3 separate regions of the Mus musculus genome follow, and regions 2 and 3 are each reported to be linked to region 1. The links are microRNA targets in miRTarBase. Many come from high-throughput screens and were not tested one by one. Region 1 holds a microRNA gene; each other region holds the end of a gene's coding sequence.

Evidence for each region. The annotated mature microRNA mmu-miR-155-5p reads UUAAUGCUAAUUGUGAUAGGGGU and lies in region 1 at 5,540-5,562, opposite strand. An mRNA with a match to its seed (bases 2 to 7 or 8) in the 3' UTR can be bound and repressed. Matches are read on the target gene's strand: a 7mer-m8 pairs with bases 2 to 8, a 7mer-A1 pairs with bases 2 to 7 and ends in A, and an 8mer does both.
Region 2: miRTarBase lists Rictor as a target of mmu-miR-155-5p. Seed matches in the 3' UTR shown: 7mer-A1 at 5,492-5,498.
Region 3: miRTarBase lists Tle4 as a target of mmu-miR-155-5p. Seed matches in the 3' UTR shown: 8mer at 5,109-5,116.

Annotation. Positions count from the first base shown.
Region 1 is chr16:84,711,826-84,719,704 of GRCm38, reverse strand. It overlaps Mir155 (microRNA 155), which reads right to left and starts at 5,565; the gene lies at 5,501-5,565. Mrpl39 (mitochondrial ribosomal protein L39) reads left to right here. Exons shown (of 10, transcript NM_017404.5): 10 at 1,321-1,424. The coding sequence ends at 1,371. It overlaps Mir155hg (Mir155 host gene (non-protein coding)), which reads right to left and starts at 6,682. Exons shown (of 2, transcript NR_132106.1): 1 at 6,612-6,682; 2 at 4,460-5,652.
Region 2 is chr15:6,794,838-6,802,716 of GRCm38, forward strand. It overlaps Rictor (RPTOR independent companion of MTOR, complex 2), which reads left to right. Exons shown (of 38, transcript NM_030168.3): 37 at 1,059-1,197; 38 at 1,325-5,564. The coding sequence ends at 1,399. Among named protein-coding and RNA genes, the nearest start is that of Osmr, 76 kb to the right of the region's middle.
Region 3 is chr19:14,443,057-14,450,935 of GRCm38, forward strand. Tle4 (transducin-like enhancer of split 4) reads right to left here. Exons shown (of 20, transcript NM_011600.3): 20 at 5,016-6,785. The coding sequence ends at 6,678. Among named protein-coding and RNA genes, the nearest start is that of Gm8630, 11 kb to the left of the region's middle.

The sequences.
Region 1 (7,879 bases):
GAAGACTGAAGTGTGAACACTATGCCCCTCCTTAGAAGTGGGAACAAAACACCCTTGGAAGGAGTTACAGAGACAAAGTTTGGAGCTGAGATAAAAGGATGGACCATGTAGACACTAGCATATCCGGGGATCCATCCCATAATCAGCTTCCAAATGCTGACACCATTGCATACACTAGCAAGATTATGCTGAAAGGACCCTGATATAGCTGTCTCTTGTCAGAGTATGCCTGGGCCTAGCAAACATAGAAGTGGATGCTCACAGTCGGCTATTGGATGGATCACATGGCCTCCAATGAAGGAGCTAGAGAAAGTACCAAAGAAGCTAAAGGGATCTGCAACCCTATAGGTGGAACAACATTATGAACTAACCAGTACCCCGGAGCTCTTGACTCTAGCTGCATATGCATCAAAAGATGGCCTAGTCGGCCATCACTGGAAAGAGAGGCCCATTGGACACGCAAACTTTATATGCCCCAGTACAGGGGAACGCCAGGGCCATAAAAGGGGAGTGGGTGGGTAGGGGAGAGGGGGTGGGTGGCTATGGGGGACTTTTGGTATAGCATTGCAAATGTAAATGAGCGAAATACCTAATAAAAAATGGAAAAAAAAATAATTTTATAAACTTAATGAGCATTTGAAAAATGAAGGCTTCTGAGCTTTAAAGTTGCCATGACTGTTAAATATGTGAATGTCCTGGAACTGAGATTCAAACATGGCTTTAGTGTTTGAGCTGCCCATGTAAGTTGTTAATTTTTTTGACTTCTTTCACTCTCGTTGTCTGATAGCTGCCCTGTGAACCTACCTCACCAGCTCTTCCTACTTAGTCTAATTTCCAGTCACCTTTTGAACTTGAAAATAAGGCTTACAGACAAACAGATTACGCACATGACATTTATTTTCAAGTTGCCTACTTTTTCAGGCCACTTGTGTCCATGGGTTAGGAACATGGAACTTACTGGTACCCTTTGCACTGGGTCTGTAACAGTCTCTTCCAGATAGACATGGGCCCGCAGTAAGACACATTGATGAAGAATACCCTGTGTTTCCCTCCTGCTAATTTTCTCATAGTAATGCTTTTGTTTTATAGATAAGAATAAGGTGAGAAACTTAGGAAGCCTACGTTAATATGCCTTCTGTTATATAGTTTTTAATGGCCACACTTGGTGGTTTATATCGGAACTTGTTTTGTTGTTGTTAAACTCTGTGATAATTCCTGAAGGAAGTGGGACAGGTCTTCACAGGAGGGGGAGTGGGGGTTGAACTGTGCACAGGGTGGGCTGAAAGAGCCGGAGGAGTAAAACTGTTGCTGTCTTCACAGGTAACTGAAGATGAAGTCAGACAGACAGAGAACACCGAATCCACCCAGTAGTGTTCTAAAATTTAAACTTGTAGAGTAAATTAAAATAAAAGCTTTTAATACAATGTGTGTTTGTCCCTGCTCTGCAGATACAGACTTTAAGGAGGTCCATGCGCCTCCTCCCCATGGATAGACACATGGGAAAATACACTGTGTGTGCGCCAGTTTGGGCTGTTTAAAGAGTGCTCTAGTAAACATCCATGTTCGAAATAATGTGTTTGCAGATGGGCGATGCTGTTAACTGTGTCGCTACTATGTGCCAGTGTGTTAAGCACCCCTAGGCCCCTCCCTCCCCGGAGCTTCTCTGTTGTTTTATTTGAGCCAGCGTCTCAGTGTGTAGTTAAACCTGGTCTGGAACTGGCTATGCAGCCCTCCTGCCTCTGCCTTCCAAGTCCTAGAATTAGGGTGTGAGCATCTTATTTAATTCCCACTTGTTAAGACAGTGTTTCTGTTTCATCACCATAGAGAGTGCAGGTGATCTTACCAAGGCTGCTCTACTCTCACAGGTGCTGCCGCCCGCAGGGATACCTGGATAAGTTTGCATTCTGGTAGCGGAGTTCTGTTAGATGCTACCAGATGCTAGCCTCCAAAACTAGTTTTCTCTTTTTAGATTATATATATATATATATATATGTGTGTGTGTGTGTGTGTGTATATATATATGTATGTATATATATATGTATATATATATGTGTGTGTGTGTATATATATACACATATGTAATAAACATTATTATGAAAATGTTGTAAATAAAAATATCATATACCGAAATTCACTAGGCCCGGCTCTCATTCCCTAGAGCTGTTCCCCACTGCCTTCCTAGGGGAAAATCCGTAAGGCAAGGTGAACTGGGTGCCTACACCGGCTTTTAGCTGTGCTGGCTTTGAGCAGCTGTTTGACTAGATACGGAATTCTATTTTGAAAACAGTTTCCTATCAGGACTCAGAAAGAGCCCAGTTGGCTTCTGGCAAGTGACAATGCTGACAAGACTGACAGCCTGGTTCTTGTCTGATTTTAACCTGAAGCTCTGTGCTGGACACTTGTGGGACCTTGCTTTTGTTGTTACGGGATTCTGACATTCTGTAGCTGTGCCGGTCTCTTGGTCCTTAGTGGGTCTGCTCACTTAGGAATTTTGAGCTGTATTTATTTAATTTCCTTCGTTCGCGTGTTTTTCCCACTTGTATTTTACTTCAAGTTTCCCCATTCTTTCATGCCCTGACCATTTATTCTCAGGAAATGACTGTTATGCCACAGTTTCTATGTGTGCCTCAGTCTGTCCCAGCTTTCTCTCCTGTCCTACCTCTGCTACTAGGTTTATTTAGCTGATGAGAGCGAGCAAGAAAAGCTGGGTTTCCTTTTCTAATTATTTCCTAGTTAGTTTCTTTACAAAAAATCTTTTTCTAATTACTTATACATCCCGACTAGAACTTCCTCTCCTCCCAGTCCTTTCTCCCACCTCATCCACTCTGTTTCTCTTCAGAAAAGGGGAGGCCTCCCATGGATATCAACCAGCCCTAGCATAAAAAGTTGCAGTTAAGGCTAGGCACATCTTCTCTCGTTGAGGCTAGACAAGGCAGCCCATTAGGCAGCCTGAAAGGGTCCCACAGGCAGGCAACAGTCAGAGGCAGCCCCTGCTCTCACTGTTAGAAGTCCCACATGAAGACCAGGAAAAACTTGTTTTCTAACTCTCAGCCAATGGCTTCAGGGGCTGGTCTGTGCCCAGGTCATCCTATGTAATTCAGTGCTTCATTCCCTTTAGTCTTCTGTGCACGAAATTGGGCTGCCCTTCCTTTACTCACACACACACACACACACACACACACACACACACACACACACACACAAACTTCCTCATTACTTACTCTCCACTCCAAACACACCCAGCCTTAACTCATACTCCAAGAATTTTTGGAATGACTGGAAATGTTGGTCAGGAATAATCCATCTGTGATGCCAAGAGGTCAGCTAGTAGAGTTGGGCATCCGGGAAGACCCAGCCTGCTGGCCACGTCTGGGTTGTGTGGGTGGTTAGGGTGGGATGATAGCTGAGGAGGTGGCGTGTTCCAGGGACGCCTGCTGCGTCGATTTAGATTATGGACTTATACATGTTTCAAGGTTTGTATGTATTCATCACTTAAATGCTGGTAGAAAGTGTGTTCCCTCTTGTGGTATTTCATCTAAGCCTTAATAAAATTACATCACAGAGATACACACACTGATGGAGAAACAGACATGGAGCAAGTGATTTGCCTAAGCATGCAGTAGGTGTTACAGTGCTTTATGATTTCAGAGCTTTTGATTGGAACTGCTGGAGGGTAATGTAGAGAACGCAGCGGGTTCCTAGCTTTCTGTGACTTTGTGGTTGTAGGCAGCAAAAAGGATTTTGAAGAATTGAGACTCGGTACAAGGACTCCTGAAGCTCCATCCAAGGGTTGAGAGGAGGAATTTATGTCGGCAGCGTACTCGGCAGAAGGCAGTGGGGCAGTGGGGGTGGCGTGCCCTGTCTGTGTCATGGCAGGCAGGGGCATTCCTCTCACTGTCCTTGTGACTTATTCCATTGTTGTCTTTTTTGTGTGTCTTCTGAAATCACAGTCTGTACTTTGCAAAAGAAAGGGTCATCACAAACAAAAAGTATTCTAAGCCAACTAAAGACTCAAAGACATTTATTTGGCTATAGGGAAGACAATGACAAGATATTCAGGAGAACTATCAGAACAGGTATAAATTAGGGCTGGTGAGATGGCTCAGTGGGTAAGAGCACCCGACTGCTCTTCCGAAGGTCCAGAGTTCAAATCCCAGCAACCACATGGTGGCTCACAACCATCCGTAACAAGATCTGACTCCCTCTTCTGGTGTGTCTGAAGACAGCTACAGTGTACTTACATATATACATAAATATATATATACATATATATACATAAATAAAAAGTCTTTAAAAAAAAAAAAAAAGAACAGGTATAAATTAAATATAACAAGTCCAGCTGTCTATGTGTTCGTCAGTGATATCACTGTGGAGAAAAATTGCATAGGAATTCAAACATTAAACTTCTGTATATCAAATTATTACCTATGTCAGGCAACGGGGTGAGTTTTGGATTGGCTTTAAGACATCACTGTGGGATTTTATTACCTTACAAAGAGTTGTTCATCTCCAGTGAGCTGCACACCAACCTTGTAAAGTTTCATCCGCATTCATGAAGAAATGCGTAGGAAACGTGGGTCTCCTTACTACACAGCTTTACTGTGCAGCTAAAGCAGTAAGCTTGAACCCAGATTTGGGTTTCATTTCAAATGTGAATATTTGAAATTAAATATTAATTAAATTAAATATTTATACCGTGTGAGGAATATATAGGTAGCCCTCAGGAATGATTTGTCATGTCACTTTTTAATACTTCATCTTATTTTCTTAATTTTTTGATAAGGCATTTTTCTGTGTAGCTAAGGCTGTCCTGGAGCTCACTCTGTAGACCAGGTTGGCCTTCGACTCAGCCATCTGCCTGTCTCTGCCTCCCGAGTGCTGGGATTAAAGGAGTAAACTACCAACAGCTGGCTCATAGATTTTAAAAAAATCATTCAGTGTTGACTCAGTTTTTCCTTACCTAGCCCTAAACTCTAACACTAACCCTAAATTTTTCCTTACACTAAAACACAAGAGTTACAAATTTTAAATCAAAGTTGACTAATACATTGTAATGTGGAAAAAATGCCAATTCCAAGTCTTACAAGAGGTATTCCAGACAATCCTAGATGTCAGTCGAGAATGGCCGTCCTGAATTTTAACTACAGAAATATAGAAATGTCCTTTTTAGTGCATTCATTTTGTATTCTGGTTGAATCATTGAAGATGGTTATGAACATAATTTTGAAATAAAAATGATACAAGTTTCACTTTCCATTCAAGATAAAAAATAAACATGTGGGCTTGAAGTTGAGATGTTGTTTAGGATACTGCTGATCTATCTTTTAAATGACATTTATCGTAACACTTACAGTGGACTATCCTAGTAACCAGGTTATGACTAGCACATTAAATGATAGAGTCTGACATCTACGTTCATCCAGCAGGGTGACTCTTGGACTTGTCATCCTCCCACGGTGGCCATTTGTTCCATGTGAGTGCTAGTAACAGGCCTTGTGTCCTGTTAATGCTAACAGGTAGGAGTCAGTCAGAGGCCAAAACCCCTATCACAATTAGCATTAACAGCATACAGCCTTCAGCAAGCCTCCAGCAGCCAGAGGATAAGGGATATGCAACTTAAACCACACACTTCCCCTTCCTGGTTTGCAGCACCTGCAAAGAGAAAAAGAAATAGTTGTGTGTACGCACACAGTTAGTTATAAAGTAGAGTGAACGATTATGAATCTGAAGGCAAGGTAGACTTCAGCTTTGAAAGAAAAGAGCTCTGAAATGCTTCTAAGTAAATTTTGGAAAATTTTTGTAAGGTTTGCAATTTAAAAACTAATTATAAAATCAAACTTTAAATTCTGTGGAAATATTTGAATACATGTATCATTTTTAACACAGCCACGGTTCATAGTTCTACAATGCTGAAGTTCAAAGGACACAACTTCAGTTCTGGGTAATATTCTGACGTACATCCCACAGGTCACTAGGCAATTCAAGAAATCTCAGATATTTAGGATGGTACTTTATGATTTTTGAAAGTTAAAACTCAATGGATGAACCCATTTTGATTCTATAAATAGTAGTTGCGATTTTCACCTTATTCGTTTTTCTTTTTCTTCAAGATAGGGGGTACAGCCAGGGCAGGTCTGCCCTGAAAGGTATCTGAAAATGCTCCTGTTGTCCTCCAGTGATTCCTTTGGGGACTCACAAACCGGTGGCTTCAGTTTGACCCATGTAAAGGAAGTGCGCCTTAAAGAGCTCTGACTCAAGGGACTTGTCTCCAGCAGAGTGGTTTAGAAAAAGAAAAAAGATGAATTTGCTGTTTCCTGTTAGAGTTGGATTTTACTCTCTCAGATAAAGTGACATTTCTCCCACAAGTTTCTGGTTTCAGTGTTACTGTACGCGAACCTAGAAGTTCAAGCATCACTCAAGTCTGTGGTTCCCTTTAGGACCAGAGGGGAACCACCTTTTCTTTTCTTTAATAATGAAACCAGCTAGATGTAGAAATGTGATTAAGTTCAAAAGAAATGCATCAAGTTAAAAATTCCCCAGTGAATATATTTTGACAGGGCAGAATATCGTGGCTTGGAAATTTCCAAACCAAGGAAATATATCATACTTACTGATAGTATTTCTTTTTTAAACTTTGCTGTTTTCTCAGATGAGCTGGTTTCATGAGGAAAGTCTGTGAATTACACAGTTTCAATCTTGGATTTTATTTCAGCCAAAAGAAAGACTGTAATAATACCTTTTCTCTTCATAGTGCATTGAACTCAGTAAGTCCTCAGTAAATCTATTAAGATTCTAGTGTTCTACTTCATGCCATATTATTGACCCATTAGGGAGAATATATGCAACTGTGCATGTGTGCATGAGTGCCTACATAACCCCATTCCAATTTAAGTAAATAACTTATCTATAAGTTCTGTTTCTATCCTTTAAAGATACCATCTGAATAAAGGTATTACCAAGAATATATTTAGTATAGGTAGCCAAGGTTGCCCTATATAACCTAGGCTGGCCTTGAACTCATGACCTTACACTTCAGTCTCCCAAATTCTGGAATTATAGCCATATACCACCACATCTGGCTATATATATATAGCCATATATACATATATATGTATAGCCATATATACATATATATGTATATTACATATATACATACATGTGTGCACACATACACACCTATCTATCTATCTATCTATCTATCTATCTATCTATCTATCTATCTATCTATCTATCATCTATCTACATGAAAAGCCTAGGTTTGATTCCCAAGTACCACATACATGGACACTGGTGCAGCCTTTGATCTCAGGACTTGAGAGATGGACTTAGGAGGATCATGAGCTCAGGGCTGTTCCCAATTACTTATCACCTCTGGGGTCAGCTTGGGCTATATTGGACCCCGTCTCAATAAATAATAAAATATAATGTTAGGAATTGCTATTGCAATCAACTCTTTTGACCTTAGGTAAAAATCTCGACCAACCTTAAGCACTATATTTAGTTCAGACAAATCGTAAGTCCAGGTCCCATTCACTATGTGGCATATCACCATTTCTCTGTGGTATAGCCTAAACCTAAGGACATTCCAGGAGAATATAATTAGACTTTTCTTCAGGATAATATTTTGAGGTATAAGGGAGGCATAGAATGTCACAATCTGTCTAGTCTTGCTGATTTGCCAGGGAAAATGTTATCAGCTAAGGTACTCAGAGAAGAATATGTCCTATACTGGATCTTTTTATTTTTAGTAATTTTTTTGTGGTAACACACACACACACATGTATCTCACACATATAACACACACACACAGACACACACATACAGAGTAGGGTAGATGAACTTTTGGAGCTGTAAGAAAGGGCATCATATTCATACTCAT
Region 2 (7,879 bases), not on the chromosome of region 1:
TTTTTAACCTATAAAATGTTTTTAAATTTTCTAAATACCAGTTTCTGAAATAATTGTTGGTGGCTATAACTCAACATACAAAAAAAAAAAAAAAAAAAAAGCTTTTTAGATTTCTCAATGACTTTTCTTTTTTTTGAGACAGGGTTTCTCTGTATAGCCCTGGCTGTCCTGGAACTCACTGTAGACCAGGCTGGCCTCGAACTCAGAAATCCTTCTGCCTCTGCCTCCCAAGTGCTGGGATCAAAGGTTGTGCGCCACCACTGCCCGGCTCTCAACCACGTCTCAAGAAAGTTGAGGAGACCTAAAGAGCACAAGCTTGAAAGGCAGCCGAGGCTGCTGCGAGTTCCTGCTTAACCTGGGTTTCTCAGTCAGAGCCTGATGAATGACAATTGTGAGAAAATCATCTTTATTTGCACAGCTCAGGGTTGTGCAAGCAGTGGTTGTCTAAAGACGTATATGTGTGCTCTGTATGTGTGTTGGCCGTGTGGTCCAGAGCTGCAAGAGTGAGGCTGTCAGCCCAGCCTCCCACCCACATGGCTGCTCCTGACGTGCTGTCCTCATGGAAAGATAGTCAGCCAGAGATAACTAATAACTTAAATGCCTTACAGTGTGAGCATGTTATGTAGTCGTGCTAGTCTAATAAATACAATTCATAATTTCCTGGTGTTACTGGAAAATAACTTTACAATAAGCACTCAGATCTTGATACTCTTTCAAAATCAGACACTTGAACTGTCTAAAGTGTAAACTAGAAATGCTTCCCAGTAAGCCAGCTATGGTGGCATCCACATGTCATCCTGGCACTGGAAGATGGAGGCAGGAGGGCCTGGAGTGCGTGAGGCATGGGGGCATTGGTCAAGGCTGGAGGAAAAGACAGACAGACAGACTGACTGGCTGGCTGACTGACTGACTGCCTTATACTAGTAAGGCACTGTTGCTAACACTCCATCTAGTCAGTATCCGGGGTGAGGGAAACTTAGCAGCAGTGTCATTTGCTGGGGTGGAGTGAATATATCGTGTGCTATTTTATCACGGCGTGTTCTCTCTTTTAATTTTAGCATTAAAGAGAAGTATCCTCAAACATTTGATGACATATGCCTTTATTCTGAAGTTTCTCATCTGTTGTCACACTGCACATTTAGACTTCAGTGTCGGCGGTTCATACAAGAGTTATTTCAGGATGTACAGTTTTTACAAGTAAGGAAGACTGTAGTTCTGAAATTTGTCTCCCAGAATTATTCTGTATTTGAAGTTGAAAGTTTATGTCTATATTACATACCAATTTTATTTTTTAAAAAATTAACAGTTTATTACTTCTTCCTAGATGCATGAAGAAGCAGAGGCTGTGTTGGCAATTCCACCAATTCAGCCTATAGTTGATGAGTCTGCTGAATCCTGACCTCATGCTTATGACGTTTATAGCTGGATACTCTATATGTATTCCTACTGTGGACTTCCTGAAAGCCCCACAGGATACTGACTGGCTGACAGTGAGGCAGGAGAGCCTTCTGACACTGGCCAGCAGTTATTGGTACAGAACAGCTGGGACTGCTGGCATTCCTAGCCAAGCCAACTTCTCTCCCGCGTTGGGCCCTTCTCGGGGTTCGTGGTTCATTACCATGGTTTTAATTCAGTTACCATCATATGCAAGAGCCAAGCACTGAATATCTACATAGGTTTTCTATTTTTTTATTTTCAAAGCGCAATGGCAGTGGAACAAAACAGGACATGAAGACGCATCCTTCACACCGTTGTTTTCTGAATGCTTTTTAATCAAGGGTAAATACAAAAGATGCCTTGTTTGTTAACTAATTTGTGGAAAGCAGGAGTCACTGACTCCGAGACTGCATCCTGTTACCCCGTGGGCTGTAACTGCTGGTATCAGAGGAACACACTCGCCTTTCCACACTTCTTAATGTCTGTAACACTACTTCAGAGGTTTATAACTTCACAGCAGAAGGAACACCTCAGCACTCGGAACTTGGAAGTTAGTTTACGATGCTAGATGCATAAGGATGCTTACTTGTCCTCTGTCGCTTCAGGTTGTTGCAATACGTTGTTAAAGGCTATTTCTACTAATTAAGGTTTTTCACTATGGTTGTGATGTAGTAAGGAGTAAATACTTCTCGTGTTCAGAGCACATTGTACCCAACCTCCTCCACTCCTCTCACCACTTACAAGGGACTGAGCCAGATGAGCAGTCTGGACAAAGCAAAGGAAGCATGAAGTGAGGCTGCAGTCTCTCAAGGAAAAGACAGCTTTGCCTGCAGTTTACACATTCCATGGGAAAAAGGAAGAGCCATATGTCCTATTAAAACGTCATTGAGACTCGTTATTAAGATTCAGAATTGTGGTGAAAAGCCTTAATTACTAAATTTTAAAGCAGCGATAATTTAATTTTTGTTAGTGTTCCTGTTTTGCATAAATTGCAGTTATAGGTGAGTTAAAAGTATAGTCATTGCCTTTATCACATTTGTGAAGTTGATGAAGGCGAGACTTTGTCTGTCTAATTTGTTTATGTATAAAGAGACTTGGAAATCTTCACAGGAATTAAACATATATGCAAATTTGTACATAAAGTAGCATGAACATCATTACTAGACTGCTTACGCGTGAAAGGGTTATCTTGGAACAAACCATCCAGCTGACTAGGACTGACTAGGACCTTTGCAATTCCTTTGTGTAACCCATTTTACAATTGCACATCAGCTTTAACATGTCATAGACATTGGTCCATATTTTCCCATGTCGTACACCCTTCTCATAATGGTCTTGTTTGCAAGACTGCTGTAAAGTACCCTGTGAACTAGAAAACATAACTCACAGAAATTTGTCTTTGAACTTGCTGGCACTGAAAGTTGGCACTGAGACGAAGCATTTCCTGTCCCTCCTGACTCCTCTTTGACTGCACTTGAGCGAGTTGTTCTTCTGTGCACTGTATAGCAACTTCCATGATAACAAAGCAGACAAGGGCTCTAAGCTGCTGCTCACATTACAGCACAGTTCGCATTTTCCCAGAAAATTCAGTGAGGGTAAAACTTTCTTTTCAACTTCATCACTGAACCCGTGTTCATTAAATGTCAGCAGTGCTTGAAAGAGCATGCCTATCACCTTGGTCTTTGGTCTTGGACAATAAAACTGCCTTTCCAGAGAACCAAATGTCAGAGATACTAGACCAAATAATGGTTACAATTCCAAAGGAAGTAATGTAGTCTTATTCATAAATGGGATTAACATTTTAGACATTCATTTTAAACACTACCTCAGTTAACAGAGTAGAAAATCTGTGGTTTCGTCCCTTGAGAGTTAATGATAACTATTCTTGTTTGTTTTTCTTCACACAAAACTATGCCCATTCTCGCGCCCAAGTCAGCCATCATGAACCTGAGGCTGTGCCCTAGTGTCCTAAGCCAAGGATTGTGTTTTCACTTTGACTGTTACTTTGAAAGGTGTGTGTGTGTGTGTGTGTGTGTGTGTGTGTGTGATCATATCTGCCTATAGCACTTACTTTGGGAAGATATCAGAGCTTTGTGATGATCAGTATACTGGGGGAAATTGTCTATGCTTAAATTTATAGTGCTATTTGGTTTAACCATGGTTTCACCAACAGGTGTAATACATTTCTTTTTAAGTACATGTATAAAAGTAGACTTTTATGACGAAAACGACATGCAGTGCCAAGTGATTAGCATAGGTGTTTAAGACTATTAAATTATAGCAGAAAAGGTTATGAATGATGTCAATGGTAATAGCAATCATTGAAAAATTGTCTATAAATATTAGATATTACCAAAATGTCAATACCGTAGTTTTTCAAGAGTTTAGAATTAATCTTAGTCATATAAATTTGTACTATTGATAATTATTTAATAATTTGGAGGAGTTTGAACAGTTAAGCTGGTTGTAAACTGTGAATTTCTAATTGTAAATTGTCATTTCTAATTGAAATTTTTTCAAGAACAGATTTCAGCTTCACATACTAAGTACTGACAAATAAAAAAGTGAGAAATTTAGTATTTATAAGAAAATAGGCTCTAAAATGTCTTATGCTTTTCTGTTTCTGCTTAGAGTATAATGGAGGAAGACAGTGTCCCCTGACCTAAGTGTTTCTAATAAAGAGTAAGTGTAGAGACATCCCACAAGACAGCAGCAGTGCAAGGCTCTTAGGAAGTGTGTGCACTGTTGCTGTGGTGATGTATCCAAGTCACCAGGAGCCGTGTCCTCAGGAGCTTTCGGCTCTTGTCCAGAGCTTGAGACAGTTGAAGCTGGGTTCCATCACTGAGACCAGATGTGCGTAGGGGCTGCTAGTGTGTGTGTAAACTGCCCACTGCTGTTTCCATGCACTCTCAGCCCCTTCAGCTGATGCCCCTGGTGCCCCACTCAAAGCACAGACCATTAAGCAATAAACAAAATTGTCATTCAAATTATAATTGTGGTTATTCTCCTGTGATAAGAGGTGCTAATTTTGTGTGAGAAGAACATGTGACCTCTTTGGAAATATAGTTTGGAAGTAAAGTTTTTCCCCCTCTTCTTGTACTTCCATTTTGTCCCAAATTCACAGTTCATGAAAGAAAAGTAAAATTGTTTAGGAGACTTCTAAGAAGAGCTGCTTGCAATAAACATTTCAGATTTTCCCGAGTGTGAGTTGGGAAGGTCTCCATTTCCTCCATACTGACAAAGCCTGTTGTTCCAACGTCTCTTAGCTTGGAGAGTGTCTCTACACTGAGTCTCACCTCAGCCTGCCAGTGACCCTGAGGTCACTGCTGAGGAAGACACAGGAGTCTGCACTAGTCTTTACAAGAGCCGTTGTCATTTCAGGTCCCCGGGGGTTCATTACAGTACATTTATACAACTCACAAGAGTGTGGGATTCCGCCCCTTTGAGTATTTTTATAGTTAGGTGGATAACTGCCGCAGATGCATGGATTGCACATTTTGACTCTATAATACTTAGTATGAAAAATTAATTTATGCCAAAAAAAAAGGAAACATATCTTACAATTTCCCCAACTAGGTTGATCTAGCACAAGATGCAAAGTCTTGGGGCAGAGCGGGAGTGGTAAAATCTTTTAATGTATGATTGTTGAAAAATGTTCCATTACTAGCCTGTCAAAAACCCTAATGATGCATTGTAAAACAAATGATGTAAATTAAATTAGCTTTGAAAAGTGGTAAGGGATTATAAAGAGGATCTCAGATTTAATGCTCTCTGACCACATGACCTTTTTTTTTTTTTTTTTAGTAATACGCTGCTACATTTTTGGAGGTTCTGGTGTTTGTAGGTCACTGAACAGACATTGAAATCTGATTTATATTGTATAACTGTAACATAGAAAGAAAAAGTATTTATATATTTTCCTTAAGAATATTTCATTGAGTTGTGTATAATTTAAATAAGATTTGTCCCAAAATGGTTTTGCTCACTTTGATTTTTTTGTTGTTGTTATTGTGGTTGTATTGTTTTTGTACAATGTGTACAGTTTATGTTAAGGGCATTAAAGCCTCCTGAAGCATAATCTTATCAAAGGGATTCATTGTTAATAAAATGTACTTAAAATTCTTAAACTTGTGGTGGTGTTGACATTATTTGAAAATTTAATGTGTCTCATTGGGCCTTGGTATGAATCATGTGCTGATGTTGACAGGTGTGGTTTCTAGTAAATGGGGGTTTTTGAGTCTATAAATGGGCATGGTCTTGTACCACGAAAAGAGGTCCCACTTGTACTTCCTTGGCATTCTCCCAAATTTAGTGTGCCATGCTTACTCTTCAATTTCAAATCATTACGGTGAAGGATTTGGACCTAGAAACGTCTTTAAGTAGAAGAGCTCTGGGCTTGCTGAGGTAGTGTTAAGACAACGACCACCATGGAAGTGGTTTGATGCTCAGGAGTCTACACACACTCGCCTGAGCAGATAGGCCAGCCTTCTGCCGCCTTGGCTAGACTAGCGCACCACAAGAAAAGAGCCAGCTGAGAAACTCGCTGTGGCAGTTGCTGAAGTCTGTTTTCCCACCTTGAGCAAGCTGGTTGCAGGGGTTTGGACTGTGTTCATATCTTGCTCACACGCTATACTGTGTTTACCAGAAATGTCGTTAACACCCAGGTGAGGAGTATGCCTAATATTTTCATACTTGAATAGGACAGTGATAGGTTTTATTTTTAAAGGGTCTCCAGATGCAAGTATTCACATAGCAGGAGACATAGCTCAGTGGTTAAGAGCACTAGCTCTTCTTCCAGAGGACCTGGGTTCAAATGCCAGCACCCACCTGGTGGTTTATAGCCATCTGTAATGCTAGTTTCCTCTTCTGGTGTCTAGGCATCAGGCATATACATAGGCACAGGTGGAGGCAGACATACACACAAAATGTTAAAAATACTCAAACCACTGTACTAAAATTTTAATGAATATTTCATGAAATAATATCTCAAAGCACTGTGGTTTTCTTGGTGCTCATCTGGAGCACTAGGTGAGCTTCATACACTTAGAGCCAGGAATTGGAGATAACTCACGATCTTGTTTGTCAGCTTCTTGCGCGCGCCAGACTGGCCAGCAGTAACGACGCTGCAACAGGATCCTTCTGCACACATTTATTGGGAGAGCTTGATTGCAGAGACCCCGAGCCCAGAACTGGTGCTGCCTATATAGGCCTAGGAGAGGCGTGTCTCACACCTGGATTGGTTATGCACTAAGCCTCATTTGCATGTTCCTCATTTGATTGGCTACTCTCTCTGTACCTCACAGAGCCTCATTATCATACCTCATTTGCATGTCTCACATCGGATTGGTTATACTCTCAAAGCCTCATTATCATGCCCAGGCCAGGCAGTGTCTTTGCAAAAAGCTTTACTGCATATGTACACATTGGTTGGTTGTCCAAACTTATGCATGGTGGCCAGCAGTAGTCAGTGCCACTCTGCAACGGCACATGTGGCTTCCCACATCTCCCCCTTTTTGTTTTAATAAAATGAGGCTGGACTAGGCCTGTGCAATTATGTCCATCCGCCGTGGCTCCTGTTTTAGGTCGTTCCTCTGTTTCACAGCCTTACCCGTCATAGGGTAACCCTATCGCCACCGGGCCCTGTGTCTTAGGTTGGACTGTGCATGAGGAAAGTTGCCTGTCTCTGGATACCACAGTGCTGTGTGACAGTAACTGCTAAATGACCTAGGGAGAACTTTGCAAAAGAGGCCAGCCAAAAAATGAATTAGTGGGGAAATCATGATCACCCTATCGCTTGCAATGAGGAAACCTCAGTGATGTGCAAGGGCTGATCAATGATCGTTGAGTCTCTCTCATCTCAGTGCCGTGGAGTGCAAGAGCAGAGAACTCAGATGCCAACTAATTCTTGAGCATAGATAACCAAATTTCAGGGGAGGAGCCGTTTTCAATAGCTAAAAGTGCCTGAGTTATAATCACCTTGTCACGTTTTTTGTTGGGTTCTGAATTTGCATACCAACCAGAGCATGAACACCAGTCCACAGCATATGGCAGCACCAAACAAAATCACTCCCACCCATTCCTTAAAGTAAGAAAAAACAGAGGTGAGCCAAGAGGTAACTGGTTCCACTCTGGTCCCATTAATAAGGTTCAGGATCTGTATCTGCAGCCTCGTCTGCAACCTTTCCAGCTTCTGCAACCAGTTCCCCTTCAGGTAATTTGTTAGGTCTGTACTTTTAATAAAAGAATTATTAATATACCTATTGGGAGTAATGCACACATGCGATGTGGATGCCACACAACTCATTTGTATGACATCCATCATCTGTTCCATATTATGTTGTAAAATATCCACTCTCTGATTCACTAACATTAACCCTGAGGTGATATGAGAATCCACCCTTTGCAGGGTAAGCAATACTTAAGACGATTTTTCTGCTATCTG
Region 3 (7,879 bases), not on the chromosome of region 1:
AGTCTTATTGGTCATTGAGGCACACAGACTAAAGCAGGGAGGCTTATAAGTCTTGTTCAGGCAACTGTCTTATTATTTCCTCTTGATCAAGGCACTTGACCTCTGTACATCTGGTACCTCCTCAACCAAATAGTCTAAAATCCCTTCTCTTCAATTCCAAATTAAATACTGAAGGGTCACTGGAAGTTATCCATGACCGGGGACAAAAGTGACCAGCTCCGGAGCTGTACGTTTCTATAGTCAGTGCACACGTCACTTTGCAGAAGCAGTTTGGATGTCCTGTCCAGAACAGCACTGTGCTTGCCTGTAGGATGCTGCTGGCTGGGAGGCCATACAAGATGCTGCATCCTGTCTTCCTCTCATGTAGCCCTGCCTGGCCTCAAAGCTCATGTTAACTGACATGGGATTGGACTTCTGCGCTTCCCACCTTGACCTCTACGTGCTGATTACAGGTGTTGTGCCATCGTGCCTGGATCACATCTCTTCAAAAGACCTAAAGCATTCTGTGCCCCTAAATACTTGTGGGCCTAAAGATTTAAAAGCAGTTTGAGACCCTCTTCCTTCAGGAAGAGGGATTGAAACAGAGACAGAGACAGGAAAGCGGGAAGCAAAGCATCCTCAGGTGGTGGGTGTCGTGGTAACTTAGTGCTTCTCAGTACTGAAAACAGTGACAACACAGGCACAGAGCACAGAATCAGAGACCTCCTTGTTTGATTTTCTGCCAAGGGGGACATTTCTAATGTCTTTTAAAGGAAATTAAAGGCCAGAGACAGTTCAGTACAGTTGGATTTTTTTGTTTTCGGTCCAAGTTTACATTTTGGTTCTTCGAGAAGTAAATGCCAGTTATATGGAAATGTAGAAGCCTGAGGTGAAAGGTACAACACCACACTCACATCTAACACAAGACTTCAAAACATTAAAGAAAACCCCAGAAGCTGAAGCAACCCATTCACCTTATCTCATTTCCCCGGCAGGTCGGTGATTGGGTCATGAACTTCCAAGTTTTACACATCTAATGTGATGTAATATGATACAAATAACAAGGTCCTGCGGACCTCATGTTTTTGAAGATCCTAGGGGTGTGGTGGGGATGTTGCATTCAAACAACAAAAACGTGACGTGCAGTGAGGTAGAAATGGTATGAAGTCCCAAGTAGCCCATGTGGAGTAGGGTTACGAGCTCCCACTTAAAGCTGGGGCTGCACAAAAATCACTATCTGCTGAGCTCAGCAGGGCACTTCGAACTCTTCACACTCCACGTTCAAGTTAAGGTGGCCTGACATGGGATCCCACGCTCTGGGGGCTGCAGCAAAGTCCATTCATTCCTGATCACCTAAGCCCCCACTAACACTCACTGTGGAATTATGCAAATGCTATCAAAGAACATTGCTTACACTACAGGCAGCGAACCAAGGTCCTGTTCCAGCAAGTACCTCAGACTTCCTGCAATCAGAGGAATGTTCTTGTTCTACAAACCATGGTGCCCAGAAATTGTCATGGAGAGAGGAATTGACTATCACTGTGGGAACCATAACTAATTTTCCTGATCCTGCCATAAAAGTGGAAATCAGATTTCATTAACATGACTGCTTAGAGAAAGCATGAAGAACTACTAACATGTGATGGGTATTTAACAATAAGCTTGAACGGCTGATTTCAATGAATCTCCAAAGCTTTGTTTTGGGGGGAGGAGCTGTACTTTAGTCACAGCTGTACCTGGCTTCTCCTTATTAAGCTAAACTCTACCGGGATTGAAGTATTTGCAGTTCTTCAAGTAATGGGAAGTTATAAAGTCTGGGACAATGGTCTGCTTGCAGGACACTAGTTTGGGCATCTCCCATTGTTCCTTGCTTCTTGAGGGCATCTCTTCTGGTCCATTTTCTAGCAGCCTATGATAAGGTAGGTCTGTTTATCACAGGTCTCTCATGACGAATTCCTACTGAGTCCTTCTAGAACTTCAAGGCCTCCCAAGAGGAAAAATAATCAATCCTAGTTCAACTCACAACCAAGAGTTTCCTAGGAGGTACCAGAACATTTAGCCTATGGAGGGGGTCACAGCACAGGAACTATAAAGACAATCTGCGATGGAACAGAGGAGTTTTCAAGTTGTATGACCTGGATGAAATGGAGCACTGCACAATTAGGTGGAAGCACTGTGAATGCCCCTTCCCATTTCTGGTCCAGTTCTGCTGTACACAGGGTGATTCTGGACCAGTTTCGAGTCTGCTAGCCCCTCAAATTCCCACCAGAGTTTTGATAAATAGCATTTCCCTTGTGACCTTTTCCTTTCTATATAAACAGAACTATGACCGCCCCTCTCTCCTTGCTGGGCCTACTGTGAGATCAAACAGGGCCCCTGTGCTCATAGTACTCTAGACTAAGGTCAGTCCTATGGGAATTATCTGCAGGCAACTATGAAAGTCCCAGCTGAGAAGTCTGTAGCTTAGAAGCCCAGCTATCCTGCAAACTTCTAACATGGAGGTTCAAAATTCTACCACCCATTACACCTCTTGTCAAACACCCCATCAAAAGGAAACAGCCACTACAGCTTAACAAGGCAGAGTTCTCTCTGCCCTTAGCTCAATAGTGTTTGAACACTCTCATAAAACCCTTTGTGCTGTATTCAAGCGACTGAAAATAAACCATTTCCATTGCCAATGTATAATGTGTCAGCACCCCAAAGTGAATAAATGGAATTAGCTCAAAAGAAGAGAGACAGCAGTTGCTACTGCTCTATGACAAATGTCCCCAGAACCCGAGCACTGGCAAGATCCAGGTCACCACTGAAACGCTAGATCTCTCTGGAATATAGCTGAATTAGCACCTTTTTTAAAACTGATTTTTGTAATTGCTTATTCAAGGTTGGACAATGAATCTCGGGGCTAAGTTTCTTACTATTACCAGAAATAAATCCACAAATATCCTAGTCCGTTTTCAGTACAGCACCAGGCCATGAAGGTCCACTGAGGCACCCAAAAAACAACCAATCCTCCTGGCTCATGTTCAGGCTGCTCGCCGGGTTGGCATATCTGTCCAGAATGCCATCTTTTGTTCTCGGTTGGCAGGAATTTTGTGATTGTGTGATGTAGTTTGAACCTAGTGTTTAATTCCCAGCACTTCTAAGTGTTGCAGGCACATACAATATTCCAGGTAGACCCCAATGAAGCCATTTTGCTAAGTATCAGCTCAGAGAGGTATGCAGCTTTGAAATCTGGAGGTCTGCCACTTTGCAGCAGAACCGCCTGTCTAGGAAGGTCCAATGGCTGCTTTGACCTGCCTTTTCCTTTTTCTATAGTTTGTTTACTCAACTCTGTTCTCCCATTCTAAATTTTCTCTTGCTTTGGAGAGAGATGCCTCTTCTTTGTTCTTCGGACTCTGCAAGAACTATACAAAGAGCATAATTTATGGTGAAAGCAGCAACTGACTTTCAGTAATTACTTATTTTCCTTCTTTTCAGAGGTATCAGATCATCAGCACTTGCCACACCAGAGGCATAGTCCCAGACCCTTAAAATTACCTTTATAGTTCAATAATTATGGCAAAACTTCTGTGTACATTAAGACAGGCCTCCAACTTATACAGGTATGCCTCTTGATTCTAGACCTTATTCCCCAGCTAGTAGTATTATTTGGGGGAGGCAGTGGAGCTTTTAAGAGGCCTAGCAGTAGTCACTAGAGGTCACTAGGGGTGGGGGTCTCTGGAGGTTTTACTGCCCCTGGTTCCAGTCTGTGAACTGTGCTTCCCAGTCAGCACCATGTGATTAAAGCCTCTGCCTGCAATCACAAATGGAGCCAATACTGTTACCATGCCTTTTCTGCTGGACTGAAATAGCTCTGTAACAGTGAGCAAAAAAGCAACCGAACAATTCGCCTGCCCCTCTGCCCCCCAACCCAACTATCCTCCCTTAAATTGTTTCCACCAGGTGTTCTGTCACAGAGATAAGAAAAATATACTCTTATAAGCCCAGTACTGGGGAATGGATAAGCTCTCAGCATTATCTATCGACAACAACTGCCACAGAGTCAGTTTATAAAGCCAATTCTCTGTGCCTCTCTGGGTAACCCTACCAGACATATAAGTTGTGTTTTCTGATGTGCAAACGTGTTTTTTCCTTCTGACTTTCTATGTTGTCAGAACCATGCCGACGAGTAACTAACAGAAGTTCAAGGCCCTCTCTATATCCATTATTCCTTCCACGCCCAACAAAGAGTGTCTCCCCACCTCGAGTTGATCTCTATGGATAGTCACTTACTATCTTAAGAAATGATCTCTTATTTCTCAGCAGCTTCAGTGGATTTGCATACCATCCTGCAATGCAGCCAGCTTATGGCATCTCACTGGACTTGCTGATTTGGTCTACATGGGTGAATAACGCTGGAATTCACTCACTTAGTACCTAGCTGGGTCTCCTATGGCTGATCACTGCAGATTACCATGACGATCCCAAATCCTGTCCCACAAATTAGGATTCAAGTTCTTCTTTGCCCTAGTCTTAAAAAAAAAAAAAATCTAACCCAGGATGCTTCCAGAAACTTGTGTGTTTTTTTTGAAAAGTCCTCAAACCCCCACACTTGGCAATGGTCCAATCTGTCAAATTCTGAATGCTGTGTTAGCTCCAGAGCATTCACAACAGTGTGGGAAACATTACCAAAATCTGTGAGGTCCAGTACAATAGCTGTTAGCTCCTGTGGAGCTATTGAGCACTTGAAATTTAGTCTGTATTACTGGCAAAAAAAGGTTTCTAATATTAATTAGTTCCAAGAGTTAAGTTTAAGTAGCTTTAAGTGGCTAGTTTACCAGAATGACAGTAAAAATCTAAATGGTTCAAGTTTGAGAGTTTTGGACTGCTTCTAGATGAAAGACTGTCAACAAAATGAGAGGCTCAGTAAATACTTGGCAACCACCTGCCTTCCATAACTTCTTTCATGCTTTCTGGGTTATCTCAAAAGAAAAATTAAAAAAAAAAAAAAAAAAAAAGAAACAGTTCAAAACCCATAGTACTTAACAATCTGACTTGAATATAACTAGTGATTTTAATATAGGGAGTGGCATAGACAAAGCAATTAGCAAAAATAATTAGAAAATAATCATTCTAGAAGTTATTTATGTTTAATGCTTAAAAGTCTGAATGCACAAACAATCTACCATCATAGAAGTACTGGTGGCCAACACAATGCGTTAGAACTATGTACAATGCACAGTTTAGTATCAAAATCTTTCTACACTGTAGAGTTTTATGAAACTGTTAATGACATCAAACACTAAGCACTTAAGACACCATTTTTTTTGCTACCACACAAAGAACGTCAATGACAGTCCATTTCAGCTTGCAGCATCCATCCATTTCTAGTATGAAATTAAGTGATTTTTCTACTTATACAATAAAGTTTATCTACACAGTTCTTGATTTTGATCCATAGCAGCAAAGGCACTGTACATCAGCAGATCCACAGACTTAAAAGATCTTTTTAAAGCATTCAAACAAAAAATAATAATAAAAAAGGAGTCACATGTTATAGTTTTAACAGCAACAACAACAACAACATAAAAGATAACACAATGTTTCTGGCACAATGGCACAGCCTGTGTCCATTTCAGGGACATCCAACTAAGACATGGAAAGAACCAGAGGTAAATAAAGCAAGCCACCATCCCGGGAGAGGCTCTTCTTTGTGGCTTTCAGAGGGTGGGCTCTGCAAACCCTCCTCTGCTGGCCTTTGTGTGGGAAAGACTTGCTTTGCACAGCGGTAGGCAAGCAGTCCTCCTGTACCTACAGCTCCTAAAGAGCATGACACAAAACAGCCTGCCATGTCTCACAGCATCACAACTGCCCAGAGACACACAGCTTCCTCTGCCAGGAAATTTGGCAAAAATATTTAGAAGAAATTAAGTTCTCTCTTTGAGGCCCAATTTAATTTTTGATCTGTCTATAATACAATAAAAAAAGGAATTAAAAAATATTACAAAGATACTTGTCAACAAGTAAAAAATAAAAAAGAAAAACATCTAATTATTTTTGTTGAATGTAATCTAAAGTTATAGACATATTGGTTAAAGTTGCCCAAATAGACTCAAAGGAATAGTACTTGGCCTGTTATATTCTACTTGTTCAAACAGCCAAATTTCCAAATGTTTTTAATATAAGTAGAAAATAAAACAAAACAACCTCATAACAACACAGCAACATATTGCTTCCGTGTGTAATTATACATTTCACATCTCTATACAGTCAATAGTCTACATTTAGTGACATTTAAATCAGTTATTTTAAACCTTCCTTTCCCCTCCCTCACCAAAAGGGAGGGGTGGAGCATCAAATACAATGCACCTTCATTATCAATGCAGGAGCGGACAGCTTTATTTAGTCAGTCATTGTTAGAAAGCCTTCTTTAAACAAAATAAATATATTACAGATATAATACATAATTAAAGATTCCATTCACTGTTAGGTATTCCATGTTCTTCCAAGACGATAGCTGAAGATTTGGTATCACAGGTTCTTAATGAGTATTCACAATTCAATAGCAAGGAGGAAGTGGGGCTATGGGAAGGGATTAAACTCCACAACTGCAATGAGTATTGGAAATCCTTGGTTTTAGAATGGGAGAGGGGTGAACAGAAAAGTACAACAGCGCAAAGTGCTATGAGGAGGAGTCCAGTTTGCACGAAGATTTGTCCTTAATAAATAACTTCATAAACCGTAGCTTTCTTGTCCCCAGAGCCAGTGACAATGTACTTGTCATCCACAGAGATGTCACAGCTAAGCACCGATGAGGATTCTTTGGACTAGGGAAGAAACATATCAAGAATGTCACATAGAGGAACTGAGCAGCAGGACTGGTGGGTGTGGCTGAGCAGATGTACAACCAAAGTGCTCCCCAGAGCACCAAGTACATCTGCAGATAGAGGGCAGCACCAACATTCCTAGACATGGCAGGAGGACATCATCCTTAGCTTAGGCTAAGGATTCCTGTCCTGAGGCATCAAAGAGAGGTAACTCAATGGTCAGCGGGCTCTGCAATGAGGCAAATCCTAGTTCTTTAAACTCTATTCCTGGGGCTGGAGAGAGAACTCACTGGATAAGAGCACTGAATGCTCTTCTAGAGAACATGGGTTCAAACCCAAGAGCCCACATGGCAGTTTATAACTGTTTGTTTGTTTGTTTTTAAACTCCAGTTTGGGGGAGGGGTTTCCTTCTGCTTTCCTCAAGTACCAGGTATACAACCTGGTCAACAGACAAGCATACAGACAATAAAATAAAAGAACAAACAAACAAACAACCCCCCTTTCTTCACTAGAGAGTACAGAGCAAGTAGGACATTCAAGATCCAAGACCTCAGCTGCCACAGACAGGGAGCCTGGCTCTCGGCGGTACCACAGAGCGGCAAGCACTGCACAGGCCTAACAACTAAAGGCAGACATGAGCCACAATGTCCACTGCTACTAGCACAGAACACGAGAACAGGAAAGAGGAGTTCAATAGTTGGAAACAGAAACACACTCCACTGAAGAGAGGTGAAGGGTGATGAAGGGATGAGGGAAGACCACACACAGACAAGGCTTAAAATAGGACCCTCAAGAATACTGGGAGCATCAGAAGTCACACGTGTAAGACAAGTACCTAATATACTGCATGTCAAACTTTTTTTATTGCAATTGCTAATAATTAAAATACCTAAGACAGTATATACATCGATATAATACTTGTATTTAATAAAAATAAAGTCTAATCTTTTTCTTTCAGTTTGTATACCTAAAAGGTCAAGTATTAAAATTTAAGCTTCAGCCAGGCATGGTAATGCATGCCTTTAATATCAGCATTCAAAGGCAGTGGCAAGTGGATCTCTGTGAGTTACAGGCCATCCAGGGCTACATAGTGA